Linked DNA regions of Kluyveromyces lactis. The protein of the gene in region 1 interacts with the protein of each later gene in a pairwise test. Links are inferred from orthologs where the notes say so. Each region holds a gene or a part of one and is shown in the gene's direction. Other genes may lie near its edges. The genes, in order: NPR1, MSI1 and SNF1.

Region 1 (7,783 bases):
CTTGAATTTGACGGAGATAAAGACCACAAGAACATACAAAGAAGAATGGACGTCGCATTACTTCAACATAAGACGATGCTCGGAGACCGCAAGATCAACGTTGAACTAACAGTTGGTGGTGGTGGTAACAGTGCAACACGTCTTGAGAAGCTAAGAACTAAGAACGATAAACTGGACATTGAGCGTAATCAACGTATGGCTAAACTAATCAGCGACAGCAGAGGCAACAAGAAGACGGACCAGGACTCTGAATCAAATGGCGCAGAGAAGAACGAACCCAAGAAACCTTCATCTGTACCTGCAGGAATCCATCCAGACAGAGCAAGATTTATTAAATGAGAAGACTCTCAGGATCTCAACTGAGTCAATGTATAATAGCGTACTCACATGTTATGTGTATATATATATACAGACATGCATATGTTTCCCGTGCAAGAAGCAGAACAGAGAGCGAGTCACGTGAACAACACCGTTATCAATGATGCCCTTTCCAAATCCTGTGTCGCTTAATGCGAATTAATCCAACGAATCCTCGGGGATAGGATATTGCCAATCCAGGTCAATTGCGAACAGTCGCTTAATCCAAGAAGCGAATGAAAAAAAACGACAGTAGACTGGAGTCCTGACGTTCGTTCCAACATAATCACACTTACATATGAATGGAATGCATGTAAACATATACGAACAAGAATAAGAGCCGTAACGACCCATCAGTCCATTCTCTAGTGTAAATCAGAACGGGAGACAGAGAGTTAGTTCCTCACATAAATCGAACTTGCAACAGTAAATTGATACGAAAACCAGATCGATTACGGCAAATCAAGTATATCACGTTTATCAGATAAAGAGTCAACGTTGTCGTCCTTTCTTGCGCAGATTAGTCTTTTATCTTTTGGGAAATACCAAGGGAAAAGGAAATCCGTCCTTAAAGGAAAAAAAAATTTGAATTTATATATTATTAAAACAAAACATAATAGACCGCAAGCATCCAGACAGTAGGTTTTCTCCAATTCTTTCAGATTCCTACCCTTACCTATTCGCTTAGCAGTTGGCTGTAAATAGTTCTACTTCCAACAACACGCTTCATTTCTCCAGTTTAGCACGTTTCTGCTACAGGGTGAGTTTTCGGTACGGAAAAGAAAGACATAGAGTTCCCCTTTAGTGCCACTGCTCAGGATAAATTCGGTATTACAAAACAAAACTGCAGAAGAACTTTCTGAAAGGGATTGATAGACCTGCTTCATATTGTGTTGTATACAAAGGAATAGAATTATAAAGTAGCTACTCGGTGTTTTTACGAGGATATCAGTTTTTTAGAATCGATAATTAGAGTTAATCAGGCTCTGATATCGATATCGACAAAGCAAAATAATTAGAACCAGACCACAACGTTATTGGAACAATGTCATCGTTAACTAAACTGTTACAAGAAAAAAGAAATCAGGAACCTTCGTCAAAGTCCGCTCTAACGAGTTCTTTGAAAGGTTCCTTGGCAGAATCAAGAAACTCCAATTCACAGTCTCATGCTGGACATCCAAACGGAACCGTGGTATCCAGCCCGATGGAAATAAGGGATGGTGCTGGTGGTAGTGATACAACCGTAACACAGGTTGATTCAAATGACGATGGATCTCTGGAAGCGTCATATGAGTTTTCTCAATCTTTTGTCAATGCTAATTCAGCTCATACTGCAACCATGTACGGCTCTTCGGTGCCAAACAGATCTCGCTCGGGCTCCATCCTTATTTCAAGCGGGAAATTCCCACAAGATACCAACGGAAGAGGTGTACCAGGAAGACTTGGTACAAGTATTGGGAGACACACCACTTCGACAAGTGTCATTTCGAACAATTTACCATCGCTTTCATCTAGTATACCATACTCGGCACCAAATTCCAATACAACAAACGACTCAACTGTTAATAGTGCCGAATCCTCTGCATCTTCCTCGTGGCTGGATAAGCATGGGTCGTTGCCCAGTAATATAGCTGCCATCGACTCAAACGTGATCTCTTCGCCAAAAGTTGAATCTGTGGAGCCCAGATTTGTCATTTCAAAACAGAAACTACAACAGAAATCAAATATGAATCATGACACCGGTAAGCCAGTGTCAAGATCGAGTTCGTTATCCTCACAGCTAGGAAGTTTTTTCTTTTCGAAAAACAAGGATAATGAACCGAGTTTAGTAGCCTCTTCGTATGGCGCTGGCGTCTCTCAGACCAATAACTACTACAACAACTCCAACTCCAATAGTAACACGAATTCCAACAATAACAACAACAGCAGTGCAATCCCTTCCTCCTCGACGAGCCATGGTTCATCCATTCCAAAACCCATTAGGGCTAGAGCATCGTCCATTTACAATTCATCAAGACAACCTACTGCCTCATATAATGAGCATGTTTTGGGGTCTCCGCAATCATTGCATGAAAACCTCTCTCAGAATCAATATACTCCAAAATCTCGTCACAGCTCCGTTGCTGATTTGAAGAGATTCTTTAAAAAACACGGTAACTCCTCCGCTTCATACAGTGAGTCTCCACCAATCAGTGCTAACTTTTCAAATGCAAGCGGTGCAAGTGCAGGATTTGCGCCTGGATCATTGGGATCCAATGACGTTGTGTACGCTGCTTCGCATGTACCTGCATTACCATTCAGTAAACGTTACCTTAAAACTGGGGAAAATTTGGGTGCCGGTGCCGGTGGTTCCGTTAGATTAATGAAAAGGATCAGTGATAACCAAGTCTTTGCTGTAAAAGAATTCAGACCAAAGTTTGAACACGAAAGTAAGCGTGATTATGTGAAGAAAATTACTTCTGAATACTGTATTGGTACAACTTTACGTCATCCAAACATCATATCCACTATTGAAATTGTTTACGAAAACAACAGGATCTTCCAAGTCATGGAGTATTGTGATTATGACCTTTTCGCCATCGTCATGAGTAATAAGATGTCGTATGAAGAAATCTGTTGTTGTTTCAAGCAAATCTTGACCGGTGTAGAATATTTACACAGTATTGGTCTGGCGCATCGTGATATGAAGTTGGACAACTGTGTAATAAACAACCAGGGTATAGTGAAGTTGATTGACTTCGGTGCTGCAGAAGTCTTCTCCTACCCCCACTCAAAAACTTTAATCGAGTCAAGTGGCATTGTTGGAAGTGATCCATATTTGGCTCCCGAAGTTTGTATATTTACCAAGTATGACCCAAGACCTGTTGATATATGGTCCGTTGCCATTTTGTTTGCATGTATGGTATTAAAGAAATTCCCATGGAAGATACCTAAGTTAAAGGATAATTCCTTCAAATTCTTCTGTTCGGGAAGAGACTGCGATTCCTTGAGTGCTTTAGTCACAAAAACACCTAAACCGCCAAGTTATGACAATGCCGTCCAATCTGATGAGCCAGCTGAGAGCACATCTAAATCGAACAACCCATCTGATCCAAACAACACGAATATTGGTCCTCAAAGACTACTTCATTCCTTACCGGAAGAGACCCACCACATTATCGGTAGGATGGTAGACTTGGCTCCTGCTTGTAGAGCCAATATTGAAGAAGTATTAAATGACCCTTGGATTCAATCCATTGACATGTGCACCGTTGAAGTAGACAACCAAGGTAACTACGTCGTGCACCCTGGAATGGACCACAAACATACCCAAGTTGATCAAAGCGAAGCCCACATTGCTGGTCTTGAAAAGAAAAAAAAGGCAAAATAAATTAAGAGAGAGAGTAAAACTAGCAATCCGGCTGAGGTATGTTCTACAGCATGTTTTATCAAATAAGAGTAACTCTTCTGAGACGACATAGACTTCTAATTGTTGTGCAATCGTTATAAATTATCTCTCCTGTAAAAGTACACAAATGTATAAAATATTTAAGAACAATTCTTGGCATTCTCATAAAATTAATGCTTTATAACGTTAGCAACCTTTGGCATGAAGTCGGTACACATCGCAGCATATGGTTCTATTTAGCAGACAATGAATTGTGCTTATTAGAAAGTGTATAATGGAAAACAATGTGCGGGTAATAACTTCAAAATTTTCTTTGGCCTAAAAAATTCTTGGAGATATGCCAGATTATAAGCTGGTAAAAATCGATGGCTTAAAGTAAGATGTGCATTCAATCCGATCAATTGCCTCGAACAAAATATCGAAACAGTAAGTCCAGGAAGCGCCAAACAGGACCATGTCGAAGGTTCTTAAGAACGTGATAGTCAAACTTATTGTCGGAGCAGGTCAAGCTGCGCCTTCTCCTCCAGTTGGTCCAGCTTTAGGGTCTAAAGGTATTAAAGCTATTGATTTCTGTAAAGAGTTCAATGCCAGAACAGCAAACTTCCAACCGGGTACTCCGATTCCAGTACTCATCAATATCAAACCAGATAGAACATTTTCGTTTGAAATGAAAAGCCCTCCTACTGGATATCTTTTATTGAAGGCATTAAGTCTTGAGAAGGGACACGGACAACCAAATATCAGTAACCCTGATAATGTATGTGGTGAACTGTCGTTAAAACATATATATGAGATCGCCAAGATCAAGAAGACCGATGGAAGACACGCTGCTCTGGAACTTGAAGGAATCGTAAAGTCTATTATCGGTGTTGCTAAGAGTATGGGTATTAAGGTAGTTCCATAAACTGACTTTTTTTTCACTAATCAAAGCATCGATTTGTGAAATAGTGAAGGTCTCGATGGAGAGTTTCATTCCAACTGGTTTATTAGCATTTGTAGACCTCATTTCGTGTACATAAAATAGAATAATGAAAAGATAAAATTATAATAATATATCAACTACTATAGATGAAGATGTATATGATGATCCAAATGAACTGAAACCGAAGTGAAAAAAGATGAACTGAAGTCAGTGTGAGGTAGATGCATGTATGACTGTTTACAAAGAAAGAATGAACAAGGATGCAAGTGTATTGTAAGCCGGTAGTTTAAGGAAAGGGTTATTCAAACTTATGGGGAAATCCTTCTCTTCTTGTTTTTTTTCTTATTCTTACGTTTAGAGTTGTTCTGCGATGATGAGTGTGAAGATGGAGGTCTTTGCAATTGCGGAATACCTAGATCAGTAGATTTATTGGAAGATTGAGAGGAAAGTGGGACCGATTTTGGTGTAAGTCTAGTGTACACTAAGAAGTACGCGTTTGGCTCTTTCAAAAGCTGTTTTTCTGAAATTTTATTGATGTATTCGTCGTCATATGTGGCCCAACTTCCATCTGGTTGCTTACAATGTGCGATATAATGACCGCTAGATAAAGATCGCCCTTCATGCACAACGACACTAATTAGTTGGTATCTTACGGGTAAGGAGCTGATTGATTCATGGCAGTATTCCGTTAGATCTAAAAACATTGGATAAGATACGGCCTGCTTCATTTTGGATGAAGATGTGCCATTAAATCTGAACTTTTTTAAATGAACCACTAGAGTCTCTGGAGCACGAATAATCTTGTTTGACTTTAGCGCGTTAGTAACTTTCTTACATTTCTCACATGTATACCCTTCTTTGTTGTCCACTCTTTTGATTAACTCAGGATTGAAGAAATCCCGAATAGATTTTTCAATTGAAAACCTTCTCTTTGAAGATTGCTGTTGATCAACAGAGTTATCAATTGAATTATCTTGACCAACAGAGTTTTGATCTTGATCAGTTGTCTTTCTACCCTTTAAATGCAATGAAAGATCGTATATAGGTTGTTCAGTGGTTGAAATCTCACCACAGTTACTGCATTTAACTGATTGTTGTAGTAATCCACCGAATACATCGTAAATGATGGATTCTGTCATTTTATGGCCCTTAGGAACCGAGTCCTCTTGTAAACGTGACATTAAAGACATAAAATATTCGTGAGAGTCCTCTTGGTTCCAAGCGCTCATCATACAGTTAATGTCTTCCAACGCATTGATTAATTTATCAGGATTAATGTACGTATTTTTAGTTGAGTCAGAAGACCACATTCTCATCGTAGTTTCCGCTAATAACATGGAAACACAGTTAGACTTAACGGTGTCCTTGAAATTTCCACGTAGTAATTGAAATAAATAGTGTTGAATTGCTGGAATATGAACCATGGCTTGCACAGCAGCGTTTGTGTAACATGTGACACCATGGTTGAGTAAACCCCTTGGTTTCAGCTGGGTCAACTTAGAGCCCCAATTCTTAACTATCCTCTGTGGTTTATTAGAACCATGGTCATTAATCGACTCGTTAAATTGGTAGAAGCTTGACTTGTCCTGAAGAGTGGTAGGAGGGGTAGGTGATAGAGGTTGTGGAGATTTGTGCTTCAATTCTTCATCCTCTTCCTCTTCTTCGCCATTTTCCTCTTCTTCAGGTTTGCTCTCAGAAGCAGCCGCAGTTGAAGATGAAGACACTCCTTTGAACTGACAAGAAGAAGCAGCAGCATGTTCAGTAGCCTCCAATTTGAGTTCTTCCTTTTCCTCTGCAGAAACATCCTCGTCATTCTCGTCATCCTCGTCTTCTGCTGATGCAGAAGAAGCGTGGAATGAACTGTCATCACTATCTTCATCTTCATCGACATTTCCAGGCTGCTCAGCAGGAGCAGCTAATGCCAGCGATGGTTGAACGAATTCATTAGCCTCATGAAACACTTCATCCTCATCCTCATCCTCATCGTCGTCATCAGACGACGAGACAGGAGCAGAAGTTGCAGCAGATGATGAAGAAGCGGAAGAAGACCCAGAACCCGACATTTCGTTTGAATCTGGGGTCACTTTGTTTTCCAACAACGACACGATTGGATGCTCCTCATCTTCAGTCGAGGATCCATGATAGTCATCATCACTGAGTAAAAGCTCATTGCTCAAACCGATAGATAATTTCCCCGATGGAGTCACATGAGAAGCGGTAATTGGTAATTGCGAACTTCTGTTTGGCTTAGATTCCGCAGCGTTTGCCGCACTTTTCTTAGTGGTATACATCTTCAACGCCTCTGCAAATGATGAGGGCTTGACCACCTTCTCCTTACGGGACGCAGTTGCAGTAGCAGCTATACCCTGATGATGTCCATGCTCTAACTGATGCTCATCGCCTTCTTTGGCTTCCTGCTGCTGTTTCTGGGTGCTCGATGAGATCATAATATACGAAGAGCCTTCACCACCGACGTTATATGAGTCCTCTTGAACAGCTTTCTTGAATTCCAACGGTTGCGAAACGATACGATCCACTAGTGGTTTTACAGAATCAGTCATTACCTTAGTTCTTCCTGATAGAAAACTGCACCCTAGCCCTTTTCTGTCCGCAAGCTTTTCGAACTCTTCTGAAATAACCTGCTGTTTAGTAAAACCTTTTCTAGTATAATATTTTATTTCTCTTTATTATTTTTTTTTTCTTTGATCTGGCCTTAGAGAGGGAGGTTTTGACAGCGAAAATTCGATAAAAAAAATGGATCCAAAGAAAAAAAAAAAAGAACTGAATCTATAAACTCTGGATATCAAAGTATCCGGGTAGCAAATAACCAGACACGCTCCTTTGACACGTTTTTGTGTCTGGTTTTTGGTGTGCCACAAAAAAAGCGATATGAAAGCCGGGTAACAGCAATAATGCAATACGTCATGGTATTTTGTGTCACGTGAAAGGATACCCGGATGTTAGTCATTTTCTTAAAAACACAACATCAGTGTTCCTCAATCCACCTCGCCGTCCCATCCGCCTCTCCTCCCTCAAGCGAATAAAAAAGAAAAGAAATAGGGCGGGATCTTGTTGTCCCTTTAATCCGACCACGCTGCAATGTCTCTATGACTCTA
Region 2 (6,927 bases), on another chromosome or scaffold:
TCCGTTGCATTCAGCCCGGATAACAGGTACTTACTTAGCGCATCTGAAGATAAAACTGTCAGACTTTGGTCTTTAGATACGTTCACTTGCCTAGTGTGTTACAAAGGCCATAACCATCCAGTATGGTACGTCAAGTTTTCTCCACTTGGCCATTATTTCATCACCGCTTCACATGATCAAACGGCTAGACTATGGTCTTGTGATCATATCTATCCGTTGAGAATTTTCTCAGGTCATCTAAATGACGTGGATTGTAGCACTTTCCATCCAAATGGTTGCTATGTTTTCACTGGTTCCAGCGACAAAACGTGCCGTATGTGGGATATTCAAACAGGTGATTCTGTTAGACTGTTTTTGGGACATACATCACCAGTCACCGCACTTGAAGTATCGCCTGACGGTAGGTGGTTAACTACGGGCAGTGAGGATGGCACAATTATCGTATGGGATATTGGTACTGGTAAAAGAATCAAACAGATGAAGGGTCACGGTAAGAATCCTATCTATTCCATAACTTTTAACAAAGAAGGTAACTGTCTAGTAACAGGTGGTGCGGATCAAAGTGTTAGAGTTTGGGATATAAAGAGGTTTACAAACGAGCCTGGAATGGAGCCGGAACAACAATTCAACACGTATTCAGGAGATATGGAACTCAGTGTAAATAACGATATCAAAGAATTCGGACGTAGGCGGGCAGTAATACCAACTCAGGATTTGATGGCTTCGTTCCATACAAAGAAAACAGCAATTCACAAAGTAAAATTCACAAGAACGAACCTAGTTTTGGCTGGTGGTGCATTTATTGAGTAAATGCGATTACTTTACTCAGCCAGATAAGGGTCGTTTATTCGACATATCTAGTAGTTGTCCAATTGTAATAAATAAAAAAAAAGAGAATGCGCTTTATCTTTATATTATTTACAATGAGTACGTATATTTTATGTGCATTGATATCAATGCAGTCAATGAAATGTAAATGTTAACAGAATCCTAATAACTAATCTAATATTGGTTTTTCAGCGTCCCACTGCTGTAAAATCGGATGTCCTTTATAATAGTAGCTTTCCCAGTGGATATAGTAATGAGGGATTCCAAATAATAGTAACAAAGATGATATTCCCAAAGGTATCGTGATCCCGACACCCATTAACTTCGTTATAAAATAGTAGACTGTACCATGTGTCGCAATAACACATAGTATATGCAGGAATTTCAACTTATTCTTTATGAAATACTTTTCCATCGTCGGCAGTAGAATGTTAATTTGGATACATATCAAAAGGAAACAGAAAACTTGGGTGGAGGTATCTAATCTTGAAGAAAGTACGGTCACATTTGAGAGTAGAATATTGGTCGGTAGGATTTTAGATTCAAGAGCGGAGATCGATATGATGTAAAAGGTTGTGAACCATGCAGATAGAGTCCAGATGGAATCGGACGAAGTTGTCTTGGACAAAGATTTAAGCACTGGAGATAAGGTCAACATTGCAAATATAATGATGATAGTGGATTTCCAGGGTACCCTCTTGTTGGCAACTATTAAGGAAACAGATGAAATTGAGGCAGCAATTAAAATCGGATTGTATTTGTAATGATAGAACCAGGCAAATATAATATAGAGTAACATAGTATTAATAATCATGTGGTAAAACTGGAAGAGATCAAGTAAAACAGACCTGTACGAGGAGTGAGGCCTCAAATGCCCATGTTCAATTTTCAACTTCTCCCATTGTTTGTAGAAACTTGGATCAGTGTAGGTATCTGGGAACGGCTGTTTCAACCACAATAACCGTTTCCATTGTTTCCCCGCAGCCATTAACAACTATAAGAGAAGACAATTTGTTATTCGGGAAACGACTAGCACAATATAGTCACTACAGTCTGGACAAAAGAAACCTGGAGATTTGCCGCTATACTCGCGATAAATCTCTGCGAGTGCAGGAAGTTACTTCAGTTCAACAGTCGTCGCTAGCTTTTTCGAATCATTAAAATTAGAGATTGATACGTAAAAAAGCTAATCCATTACAACTTAATATCACAGCACAGCCAGCGGGAGCACCCGCACAAGTAAGATACAAAGGATATAGCCTAACTTACTGCTCAACTCATTGCTACATATACCCAATGGATCAATCTAGCAGGGAGACATCAAATTCGTTTGATCAGGTAACCAGGCAATCTTCAAACAATGAACGAAGACCTACGGATTCTAAAGCCATACCGAGAACTTTACCCAAGGATACCGTTCCAGACGACGTACATGCTACACCAAAAGTGGATGACAAGGATAGGATATGGACAGATATAGATACACTAGATGATGTGAAAAGAATGGCCAGAGAGGGCAATACTGGCCTTACTTTCCCGGATAATTTCGAAGAGGATATTACCCGCTTACGCCAGATGCATGCGAACTTGATGCAGCACATGAAGAGACAATCAACAGAGACCCCAGGAAATCTTGAAGAACAACAGAAACACATCAATGATATCGTAGATACCATTGAGAGATATAACTGAATAAATACTTCAAATCACGTGATGAATCACGTGCCACAATTACCCTGACTTTTTGTTGAGTATTAGTGGAAGCTAAGGTTTCCAAGGACCACCGGTTTCTTCTACGTGCCTTTCACTATTTGTTTACTGGATGGTGCGAAACAAATAAAAAAAGCGGAAGCTGACAGAAATTACAAGTTGTTCCGAATAACGATGGGATATACGAATTGATGATTGAACGTAGTATGGAAAATAATAGGAACGTTGAGAAAAAAAAGGATTTGGTATTTTCCATCACCTGCGAATTTGAGGGAAATGGTTAACTTAAATCGTGGATTCTTTATATATATATATTCTCTGGTGAAGGTTCTTGATCAATTGCTTCTTCCAATTGGTATTTCGATTGTATTCTTGAGTCACGTAGAAAGGAATTTGTGATTAGGGTTTAATCGCTGAATTCTGAAGTGACCTTTTAACTGACCGTAAAGTACAATAAAAGGTTTTAAAGTTCTGTTAAGATAGATTCTAAAACAGAAATAAAAAGACAAATATCAGAAATGGCTTCTAAGAACACTTACTCTGACTTCAAGTTGGCAACTGAATTGCCAGCCTGGAACCAATTGCAATCTTTGTACGAACAAAAGGGTAAAAAGCTAAATGTTAAGGACGAGTTTGCTAAGGACAATTCTCGTTATGAAAAGTTTGCCAAGACGTTTGTCAATTACGATGGTTCAAAGATCTTGTTTGATTTTTCCAAGAACTTAGTTGACGATGAAATCTTGAAGTCTTTGATCCAATTGGCTAAGGAAGCTAAGGTCACCTCATTGAGAGATGCCATGTTCAACGGTGAACCAATCAACTTCACTGAAGGACGTGCTGTGTACCACGTTGCCTTGAGAAACAGAAGTTTGAAGCCAATGTACGTTGATGGTACCAACGTCACTCCAGAGGTTGACGCTGTGTTGCAACACATGAAGGAGTTCACCGAAGAAGTCAGATCTGGTGCTTGGAAGGGTTACACCGGTAAGTCTATTACCGATGTTGTCAACATTGGTATCGGTGGTTCAGATTTGGGTCCAGTTATGGTGACTGAAGCATTGAAACATTATGCTACCAACTTGAAGGTACACTTTGTTTCTAACATTGACGGTACTCATATTGCTGAAACTTTGAAGGATTTGGACCATGAAACCACTTTGTTCTTGATCGCATCCAAGACTTTCACCACTGCTGAGACTATCACTAACGCAACTAGTGCTAAGAACTGGTTCTTATCTAAGAACGGTGGTGACCAATCCCATATCTCCAAGCATTTTGCTGCTTTGTCCACTAACGCTACTGAAGTTGAAAAGTTCGGTATCGACACAAAGAACATGTTCGGTTTTGAAAACTGGGTCGGTGGTCGTTACTCTGTTTGGTCCGCTATTGGTTTGTCAGTTGCTCTATACATCGGTTTCGACAACTTTGAAGCATTCTTGAAGGGTGCTGAGGCAGTAGACAAGCATTTCGTTGAAACTCCATTGGAAGACAACATTCCATTGTTGGGTGGTCTATTATCTGTTTGGTACAACAACTTCTTCGATGCTCAAACACATTTGGTTGCGCCATTCGATCAATACTTGCACAGATTCCCAGCTTATTTGCAACAATTGTCTATGGAATCCAACGGTAAGTCCGTCACCAGAGGTAATGTTTTTGCAAACTACTCTACTGGTTCTATCTTGTTCGGTGAACCAGCTACCAATGCTCAACATTCTTTCTTCCAATTGATTCACCAAGGTACCAAATTGATTCCATCTGATTTCATCTTGGCAGCCCAATCTCATAACCCAATTGAAAACAACCTACATCAAAAAATGCTAGCATCTAACTTCTTCGCTCAAGCTGAGGCATTGATGGTCGGTAAAGATGAAGAACAGGTCAAATCAGAAGGTGCCACTGGTGGTCTAGTACCTCACAAGGTCTTCTCTGGTAACAGACCAACCACTTCCATCTTGGCTCAAAAGATTACTCCAGCTACCCTTGGTGCTTTGATTGCTTACTACGAACACGTTACATTCACCGAAGGTGCTATCTGGAACATCAACTCATTTGACCAATGGGGTGTTGAATTAGGTAAGGTTTTGGCTAAGGTTATTGGTAGTGAATTGGCCACTGATAACAAGATTTCTTCTCACGACAGTTCCACCAACGGTTTGATCAACCAATTTAAAGAATGGATCTAATGTGAGAATGCGATGCAATTTCCTTTTCACCTAAGATATGCAGTGAACTTAGAATTCCACATCTTTACGTACAACCAAACTAAATAAACTTCTTTATCAAAACGCTATGTGCAATGAATGACTTATATACGACAATGTCACGAATATCAACTACATTGGAAGTAATTGTTTTCACTTAATCAATCTCTTTTTTCATATTTACATTAAGGAAAATGAAAAATGATACACGTCCAAAAGATTCAACAACGCGTGATGTAGTGCGAGAGTACAGACATCGAGATTGTGACAAGATATAACAATACCAAGCTAGCTCATAGCATATAGAGGACGCAACAATGAGTGAGTTGATTATAGAAGAACCTCCAGAACTGGGCTCTGGAATTTCTAATGAAGTACAGCAAAGGTATACCAATTGGAAGAAGAATACAAAGTTGCTCTACGACTATTTGAATACAAACACATCGAAATGGCCATCTCTATCCTGCCAATTCTTCCCAGACCGTACTCTTACGAATGACAAACAAAGGATATTATTATCTTCATTCACATCGCAGCAACTTCCGCAGGATGAGTCAATTTACATCGGGTCCATATCTACCATGAATCATATGAAATGGAGTTCCATCAATAACTTCGACATGGATGAAATGGAATTTAAACTGGATAATTCATTGAAACTGAACGACAAGACATTAGAAGAAGAGGTACGAATAACGTACCCTGACGGTGATTGCAACAGATGTCGGTACATGCCTCAGAACCCCGATATAATTGGGACTGCATCATCAAATGGATCAGTGTACATATTTGATAGAACGAAACATGGTAATAAGATTTCCACAGGCAGGAAATTCGAAATCGAATGCAGAAATAACGGTGACGATGAACAGGACGAGAGTTTATCCCTTGCATGGAATTACCAATTGGAGGGTACCTTAGCTACATGTCAAAGTAACGGGAAAGTAAAAGTATGGGATCTTACTAAATTTGATAAGTCGAAACAGAGAATGGAAATACCTGAAAGAGAGAGTGTGATGGACGCGAATGGAGTCAATGATGTGTCATGGATGGTAAACCACACTTCCATTTTAGCATCATGCGGAGAATCCAACGTCATTGGACTGATAGACATAAGACAAGATACGAAAATGGACACATTACACCGTACTACACATACAGATGGAATCAATGCCATCGAGTTTAACTATAAGAACGATATGATATTGTGTACCGGTGATTCTCAGGGCCAGTTAAAGATCTGGGACATAAGAGATTTCAAGGAGCCAATAAAGGAATGGGAACATGGAGATCAGGATCCCATCTCTGCCATTCAATGGAACCCTCAGATACCGCAAATACTGGCCACTGCAGATCAACAGAGTGGATTAGTGAAGATATGGGATGCATCAGGTGAACAAGAGGACTCTAACGCTGAAAACAACATGCTATTATTTGTCCATGGTGGTCACATGCTCGGAGTCAACGACATTTCATGGTCACAACATGATCCATGGACCATGTGCAGTGTATCGAACGACAATTCAATTCATATCTGGAAGCCAGCAGCAAACTTAGTAGAACAATTGTAGATTAAACTGGAACATGTCGTCGATATATACATGTATCGGTATTGTTTATTCGCATATAATAAATGTGTCGCACGACACAAGAAACACGTTACTCTTCCTTGAATTCCTTTCACGTGACCTATAACCAATCATAGCACTGAACATGGACCAAATCACCGGGTACGAGATGCCACTCTTTACAACTCTCTACAACTCTCTACAACTCTTCTATGCAAACAGGTATACAAAGGATATGCCAATCTACCATGTTTCAACTCTATACTAGTTGCACAAGATACGCCATCAGCAACTGTTGTATGTTTTATAGTTGTATACTACTTTATGCCAATACTTTCCACTACGTATAGCCCATTTTTTATTTTCCAGCAGCCAGGCCAATTCGAGGGAAAACAAAATTTTCTCTTTCAACTTTTGGCGAAACTTTTAGGATTTGGAAATACCTACACTTTTCACACATCGAAATCCAATTAACTGACCTTTAATTAGTTAGAAGTTATAGACATACGTTTGTGTTATTCTTGAATTGTAGTTCATTTTGAGTTTTATTTCGACTAGCTGATTGACTGCCCTTTCATTTAGATCCTTATCTACTTTTAATTTGCCGTTCCAGTTTC
Region 3 (7,570 bases), on another chromosome or scaffold:
TCAGCAGCATTACTTTGGACAATGGTTCGAACAATATATCCATGCTTGATGGCATCGACAAGGCCCTTGACTTAGGATTTGACCTGAACGGTGTAAGGAGTATTTCTAGGATTAGATGTATGAATCATGTATTGAATAGGGTATTCTTGGATTTGTTAAATGCCTTTGAAAAAGGTCACGAGTCGCTGCTATCGAGGATTGATAAACTAGCATCTTATACAAAGAGTAACGTTTACATCAGAAATAAGATCCGCTCTTATATTCCTTGCACGATTCCCAAACACAATATCACAAGGTTCCTTTCTCGTTACCGTCAACTTGAAGTTTTCCTTAAAGTCTCTAAAGGTGCTAAAGAGTTTTTCTTTGATAACCGTTTCAAACCTGAATTCCAGCTAATTCCAGATGACTGCTCTGTATTTTGTTATCAAGAGGAGGAATTGGAGTATATTCTTTTCTTTGTGAGGATAGCACGCATTTTTCAAGAAGTTACCATGCTCCTTCAAGATGATACCACAAATTCATTATGCAATGGAATTAAATATTACATGACTATCCGCCAATATTACAAGTCTTGCGAAGAGTTAAAAAACGGTTCGGATGATATTTTGCATGTAGCCAATGTTGGGATTAAGAAAACTCATTTACCATCAAATACTATAAAGGAACAAGTTTTCTCTGCGGTCATGGCCTCGTACCCCAAATTTGAAAAATACATGGACTTTGCGTTCAAAGAACCAGGATATTGGGTGGCACATATCTCACAACCTCACCGTAAGACTGACCTATTGAACAGGTCCTTTGAGCAATCGTTCAAAGAGGATGTCATTGAATCAGCAACAAGTTATGTTGTCAGTTACTGCAAACGATTTACTGAAACTTCCGATATTCGCTCGCACAATAAACCAACTGAACCATTGAATATCAATCGTGTTAAGAAGCCAAAATTATTAAAAAACCTATCTGCATATCTGGATAGAAACATTTCAGAATTCCATTTTGCGCCTAAGGATGAGTGGCAGATATACTTGGGGGAACCATTGGAGAAAGAGAAGGATTTTTTGAGCTATTGGCTTGAAAACCAATCAAGATTTCCTGCATTGTGCAGTCTGGCTCTTGCCTTTTACCACACTAAGCTCTCAACTGCTGACGTCGAAAGGAGCTTCTCAATCAGTAAGCGTGTTTTAGATGATAGATTTTCTCTTGCTAGTTCCAATTTAAAAAGCACAATGATAGTAAGGAATCGCTTGATGTGTTTCAATTTGGGCTCAAAGATGCCTGTGACTGAACATATTGCAACGGACTCTTGGACGGATGACGAGGACGATATGGAGCATTCAAATTTTAGCCAACAATCATTCTACGATCCTGCCGCAGTCATCGATATTTACTCCAGTGACAGTAGTGATTGAAACTAATACATAGATAGCAGAATTTTGGAATCACCAGTTTATAATGAGGAAAATACGATATTAACGTTATTCCTAATTATAAAAGAGTAATTGGGGAAGATTAAAGATGTAATATATACATCTTGGTTCGTATATAATAGCCACTTATCGAGTGGTGATGTACTTTAATGTAGTGTCATAGCATATTGACGTAGTGAAGAATGGATTCGTGAATTGTCTGAATCCTCTCGTAAAACGTGACAGGATTGGTGACTGAAAATGGTCAATTCGCCGGACTCGTCCCAGTACGGTCTCCTACATAAGGTATCAGTCATCATCAACGATTTCTACGCCGTTTACATTTTGATGATAAAATTGAAAACTTGTCATATACGGAACATCAACAATAAAAGAAGGATCAATGCGTAATTGTAGGGCGGATAGAATTGGGTTTTGTGAGACTCCAGAAACGTCACACTAGTATAAGAATTGCAAGTTTTCTAACAAGTTAGTCAACTTCTCAATTAGAAGCAACTATTCTCAGAGTAAACAAGATATCCCTCTGTTGAACGCAAACTCTTAGTGAAGCATTTACGAGTACATACTCATCAGAGAAGATATGTCGCACGACCCAAATCAACAACAGCCGCATGGTGGCTCAGGTCAAGGCCATCACCAACGCCAGCTGACTAACCACGCACAAGGCCAACATATCGGTAAGTATCAAATCATCAAGACCTTGGGTGAAGGATCATTTGGTAAAGTGAAACTGGCGTACCATATCTCTACGGGACAAAAAGTGGCATTAAAAATCATCAATAAGAAGGTTCTAGCCAAGAGTGATATGCAAGGTAGAATCGAGAGAGAGATTTCGTACTTACGTTTGTTGAGACATCCACACATTATCAAATTGTATGACGTGATCAAATCGAAGGACGAAATTATCATGGTGATTGAGTATGCTGGTAATGAATTATTTGATTATATTGTCCAAAGAGACAAGATGCCTGAACAAGAAGCAAGAAGATTTTTCCAACAGATTATTAGCGCAGTAGATTATTGTCACCGTCATAAAATTGTGCATAGAGATTTGAAACCAGAGAATTTACTATTAGACGAACATTTGAACGTTAAGATTGCTGATTTTGGTTTATCTAATATAATGACAGATGGTAACTTTTTGAAGACTTCATGTGGTTCTCCAAATTATGCGGCCCCAGAAGTCATCAGCGGTAAACTATATGCAGGTCCAGAGGTTGACGTTTGGTCTTCAGGGGTTATCTTATACGTCATGTTGTGTCGTAGGTTACCATTCGATGACGAAAGTATCCCAGTGTTGTTTAAGAACATTAGCAATGGTGTTTACACCATACCTAACTTCCTTTCCCAAGGTGCTGCGAGCTTAATCAAAAAGATGCTCATCGTCAATCCAGTTAATAGAATTACCGTGCATGAAATCATGCAGGATGAATGGTTCAAAGTTGATTTACCCGACTACCTAGTTCCTGCTGAAAGCACCCATCAAGAAAACTCTGAAAGCAAAACAGAAGATGGCGGCCCATCCGTGCCACTCGAACTGATCGATGATTCGTTAGTTCAAACGCTATCAAACACTATGGGTTATGACGTAGATGAGATATATGAGGCTTTAGAGTCCGATGAAGATCATCCATCTTTAAATGAAATCAGGGATGCCTATCAGTTAATTAAAGAGAACAGAAATTTAATCAACGACATCAAGGTGAACAAGCAACAATCTAATGACTTGGATACTTTCTTATCGCAATCTCCACCCACTTTCGAACAATCCTTGCATGCCCCCCCGGGCTCAAAAAATCGACACTCACACCGCCATTCAAAGAGAACACAGCAACGTACATATCAATATCATTATGGAAATGGTTCTCAGGATGGAGACAGCACGATTGCAATTTTACCTAGCTCGTTACCACAGATCCATAGAGCCAACATGGTAGCACAAGGGTCCCAGGCTGCTGCTAAGATTTCACCATTAAGCGTGAAAAAATCAAAAACAAGGTGGCATTTCGGTATACGATCAAGATCCTATCCATTAGACGTTATGGGAGAAATATACATTGCATTGAAAAACTTGGGAGCCGAATGGGCGAAACCATCAGAAGAGGACCTATGGACTATTAGAGTCCGTTGGAGATATAATATCGATATGCCTGATGACGAAATGAAGAACAAGCAGATTCCAGATTTAATGAAGATGGTAATCCAATTGTTCCAAATTGAGACAAATAACTACTTAGTGGATTTCAAATTTGATGGCTGGGAGTCCAGTAACGGTGTAGTGTATTCAAGTCGGAACGACGATGAAATGAGTACGTTCAGTGCATACCCCTTTCTACATTTAGCAACCAGGCTGATTATGGAACTTGCAGTGAATAGCCAAGGAAGTTGATTTTAAGGTTCATGAAATTAAAAAAATACTAACGGATAATATCCAACGAAGAGTGTATATAAGTTTGAATATTTGCTTAAAGTTTAAGCCTTATATACATATCATTAAATAATGACAATCACTATATTATATGAGAAATTACTCTTAGCTCACAACACTCGCCGGGAAGAAGAGGAAAACAACATACATGTTTTTGACACATGAAAAAAGAATGCATCGGCCGGGAATCGAACCCGGGGCCCAACGATGGCAACGTTGGATTTTACCACTAAACCACCGATGCTACTTTGTTGTAGTTTTCGTAAGATAGACTGAAGACAGGCCAGACGAAGGGTCATGTGAGCTAGCCAGCACACGGCAGAGTTCCAAGACGTCAGTGACTGGGCATATGGATCCTGTGGTATCCAGAAGGGAAGGCCTAGATGGATCAAAGAGGGTCACGTGACAATATTTAGTGAAATTGGAATAGGCAGAAGCTGCGCATGACGAGTGGCTCATGAGACTATCAGTTACCATGAAAAAGTCCGACGGACAACTGAGTATGAGTTGAGTATTAGGGCTGAGTTAAGTTGCAACCTTTTGAGAGGTTGGATGCAACAAGAAGGAGCAAGACGCATATGCTCAAGGATCTAACTATGTATATTCTTATATCAAATTCAGTACTTGTTTGGTCTCTACGATTCCACAAGAGGTGAGCAATCAATCAGCTATCATCCACGGCACATCACAACATGAGACTATTATACTGTTAAGTATAGTCGGGTCTATCATAATAGTAATATTTGCTATACTAGTGGGCAAAAAAATGGTTCCTAGCGGGATCGAACCGCTGATCCCCGCGTTATTAGCACGGTGCCTTAACCAACTGGGCCAAGGAACCAACTTGGATGTTGAGGAGGAAGATTGTGTTGCCTAAATGTTGAGACGGAACATAAACTATGATCGGGTAACTACCGATGCAATTGGCGGTTAAGTAGCTATACGGTACGTATTAATTGAAGTATCGTTAACTGACCTGAGTTATTATATGAGGAGGCATCAGGTCTGACAAATGACAATCAGCTCAACCGGGCCAGATCTTCAGATGAGCCATATTTCTTAGTACTATATATAGTAGTGTATATTGACCCACCTGATACTGAAGATCTAGAATCGATTTCATGTGACAGGAATAACCCGAAATATCGATAATAACCAACTAAGTGTGTTCAACCGTAGTCCGATGAAACGAGCATTTTTCTAGGGAACTTTTTTCGTGCGAGGTATATATATGCATACCTTTGATGAAATAGGGCAAATGTAACGTTAAGGTATAAGGACTATTCATCAGGTCATTTTTATTGTTTTCAATCCTACAACGGGAGTTTCCAGTGCCAGTATAACAAGCTGCTTATCAGTGTTTGGATATATCGAAGGAGGTTTCATCGTTGTAGGGAAGTTCAAACGAAATCAACGGGTCGATTGAGAATAGTGCCAAGATTTGGGAATAAGATTCAGTTGTCTCAATTGAAAGAATATCATGCCGGAAAATAAGTTTGAAGTGACCGAGGAGTACTTGGATCCTCAAAGTATGCTTGAGCTGTCCATGCCCGGTGGTGCCTCCAAACTCTCTGTTCGTCAAAAGTTGATATTGAAATGCAGAAGGGCCATGAGGATGAGGGATACGGAGAAAAAAGGATCTTCTTCAACTGACCCAGTTCAGAGTCAATACTCACTGTCATTGTCTTCCGCCGAAGATAAGAAGAGAGGGTTTTTTGGCTCCGTACAAGACGTGTTGAGAAAATACATGAGATTTGTTGGACCGGGTTTGATGGTCTCTGTTGCCTATATGGATCCAGGTAATTACGCTACTGACGTTAGTGCTGGTGCTTCTAACGAGTTCTCTTTACTTTGTATTGTGTTGGTTTCCAATATTATTGCTATCTTCTTACAATCTCTATGTATCAAACTAGGTTCTGTGACGGGATTAGATCTTTCAAGGGCTTGCAAGAAGCACCTGCCCAAATGGTTGAATTTGACCATTTATGTGTTTGCAGAATGTGCTATCATTGCAACAGATGTTGCTGAAGTTATTGGTACTGCAGTTGCATTGAATATCTTGCTAAGAATCCCATTACCAGCGGGTGTGGTTATTACCTGTATCGATGTCTTATTCGTTTTGATCGCTTACAAGCCAGGTTCTTCATCCATGAGATTCGTCAGAATGTTCGAGTACGCTGTTGCCCTACTTGTCTTTGGTGTTGTTATCTGCTTCTGTGTTGAGTTGGCTTACATTCCAAAAACTCCAGTGGGACATATTTTCAGAGGTTTTGTTCCTTCTAAACAAATGTTTGAACATAACGGTATGTACACCGCTACCTCCATTCTCGGTGCCACTGTCATGCCTCATTCACTCTTCTTGGGTTCTGGTTTAGTTCAACCAAGATTATTAGAGTATGACGTTGACCATGGTTACTACGATTTGTTGGCAGAAGAAGATGAAGACAATGTCATTGAAGAAACCGAAGATACTCACTCTGCTGTAAAGGAAAAGGAAGATATCGAAGTCATCAGGGAAAGAAGATACTTCAATTATCAACCCACAAATAGTGCTATCAAGTATGCCATGAAATATTCCATTTTTGAATTGGCCATCACTTTGTTCACCTTTGCATTATTTGTTAACAGTGCTATTTTGATCGTTGCAGGTGCCACTTTGTACGGCTCCGAGGAGGCTGTGGATGCCGACTTGTACACCATTCACTCTCTACTTTCTAAGAATTTGGCTCCAATTGCTGGTACTGTTTTCATGTTGGCCTTGTTATTTAGTGGTCAATCTGCCGGTATTGTGTGCACCATCGCAGGCCAAATTGTATGCGAAGGTCATTTGGATTGGAACTTCAAACCGTGGAAGAGAAGATTGATAACAAGAGGTATCTCTATTATTCCATGTTTGATTATCTCCTTAACCATAGGTAGGAGTGCCCTTTCCAAGGCTTTAAATGCCTCCCAAGTTGTTTTATCCATTCTATTGCCATTCTTGGTCGCTCCCTTGATCTTCTTCACTTGTAAAAAGTCTATCATGAAAGTCAAAGTGAACAACAAAGATAAACTGAACGCTCCAACGGTTATCGGCGAGGAAGAGCAACCTGATGAATATATTGACATGTCCAACAACTGGATCACTACCATCATTGCATTTTTGGTATGGATTTTCATATCCTTGTTGAACGTTTACACTATCGTGCAATTAGGTATTTCTCATGGTGATATCAGTTGAGTTCTCCCTCATACCTGTTTCATTCTCATACTGTACTTTGAACATATTTGCATGATAGAACCGTCTCCGTTAAAGGTAACATGAAATATTATATACTTTTTTGGATATACTGTAAACTACATTCTACGTAATTTGCTCCATAAACAGAGTACATCAAGACTTTCCGACTCATGTCAACTGCCACTAGCGAAAGTTATATTAGGATGGCAAATCTGCTTAATATTACTACCCCTGGAAGGTAGGATCCTGAATGAAACGGACGAGGACTTTTGATCCAGTTTGTAATAGAGGGTGCCCAGCGACAGATGCCAGCCATTTGTTCAAGCCTTGGCGTCTTTCCTCTATAACTGCATCACTGAACCTGTTTGAAAGGAGAATCTTTCCTGGCAAATGTTGTACTGAGACTTTCGGATGGTTGCTCAGTTGTAATTCTTTGATCAGCAACTTTCTGAATAGTTCAAAATCACTGTACCGCCTTCGAACGGAACTCGATCT

The links.
Region 2: the proteins of NPR1 (region 1) and MSI1 interact in a two-hybrid assay, tested with the Saccharomyces cerevisiae proteins (2 studies listed by BioGRID). The link is inferred for Kluyveromyces lactis from reciprocal best matches to the Saccharomyces cerevisiae genes NPR1 and MSI1.
Region 3: the proteins of NPR1 (region 1) and SNF1 interact in binary tests that used the Saccharomyces cerevisiae proteins (3 or more experiments, as listed by UniProt). The link is inferred for Kluyveromyces lactis from reciprocal best matches to the Saccharomyces cerevisiae genes NPR1 and SNF1.

Annotation. Positions count from the first base shown.
Region 1 is NC_006040.1:713,071-720,853, forward strand, and holds NPR1 (serine/threonine protein kinase NPR1), read left to right. Parts: upstream 1-1,402; coding exon 1,403-3,727; downstream 3,728-7,783. Other genes in the region: NOP6 (Nop6p), read left to right, coding at 1-339; MRPL19 (mitochondrial 54S ribosomal protein uL11m), read left to right, coding at 4,200-4,649; ubiquitin-specific protease UBP10, read right to left, coding at 4,976-7,228. UniProt on the Saccharomyces cerevisiae protein: Nutrient-regulated protein kinase that promotes the activity of at least 6 distinct transport systems for nitrogenous nutrients under conditions of nitrogen catabolite derepression.
Region 2 is NC_006041.1:2,090,187-2,097,113, forward strand, and holds MSI1 (Msi1p), read left to right. Parts: upstream 1-5,059; coding exon 5,060-6,313; downstream 6,314-6,927. Other genes in the region: TAF5 (chromatin modification protein), read left to right, coding at 1-810; GPI2 (phosphatidylinositol N-acetylglucosaminyltransferase), read right to left, coding at 998-1,816; KLLA0_E23497g (DUF5315 domain-containing protein), read left to right, coding at 2,125-2,520; PGI1 (glucose-6-phosphate isomerase), read left to right, coding at 3,057-4,724. UniProt on the Saccharomyces cerevisiae protein: Acts as a component of the histone chaperone complex chromatin assembly factor 1 (CAF-1), which assembles histone octamers onto DNA during replication and repair.
Region 3 is NC_006037.1:335,053-342,622, reverse strand, and holds SNF1 (AMP-activated serine/threonine-protein kinase catalytic subunit SNF1), read left to right. Parts: upstream 1-2,007; coding exon 2,008-3,816; downstream 3,817-7,570. Other genes in the region: divalent metal ion transporter SMF1, read left to right, coding at 5,336-7,075; SNX3 (Snx3p), read right to left, coding at 7,301-7,570. UniProt on the Saccharomyces cerevisiae protein: Serine/threonine protein kinase essential for release from glucose repression.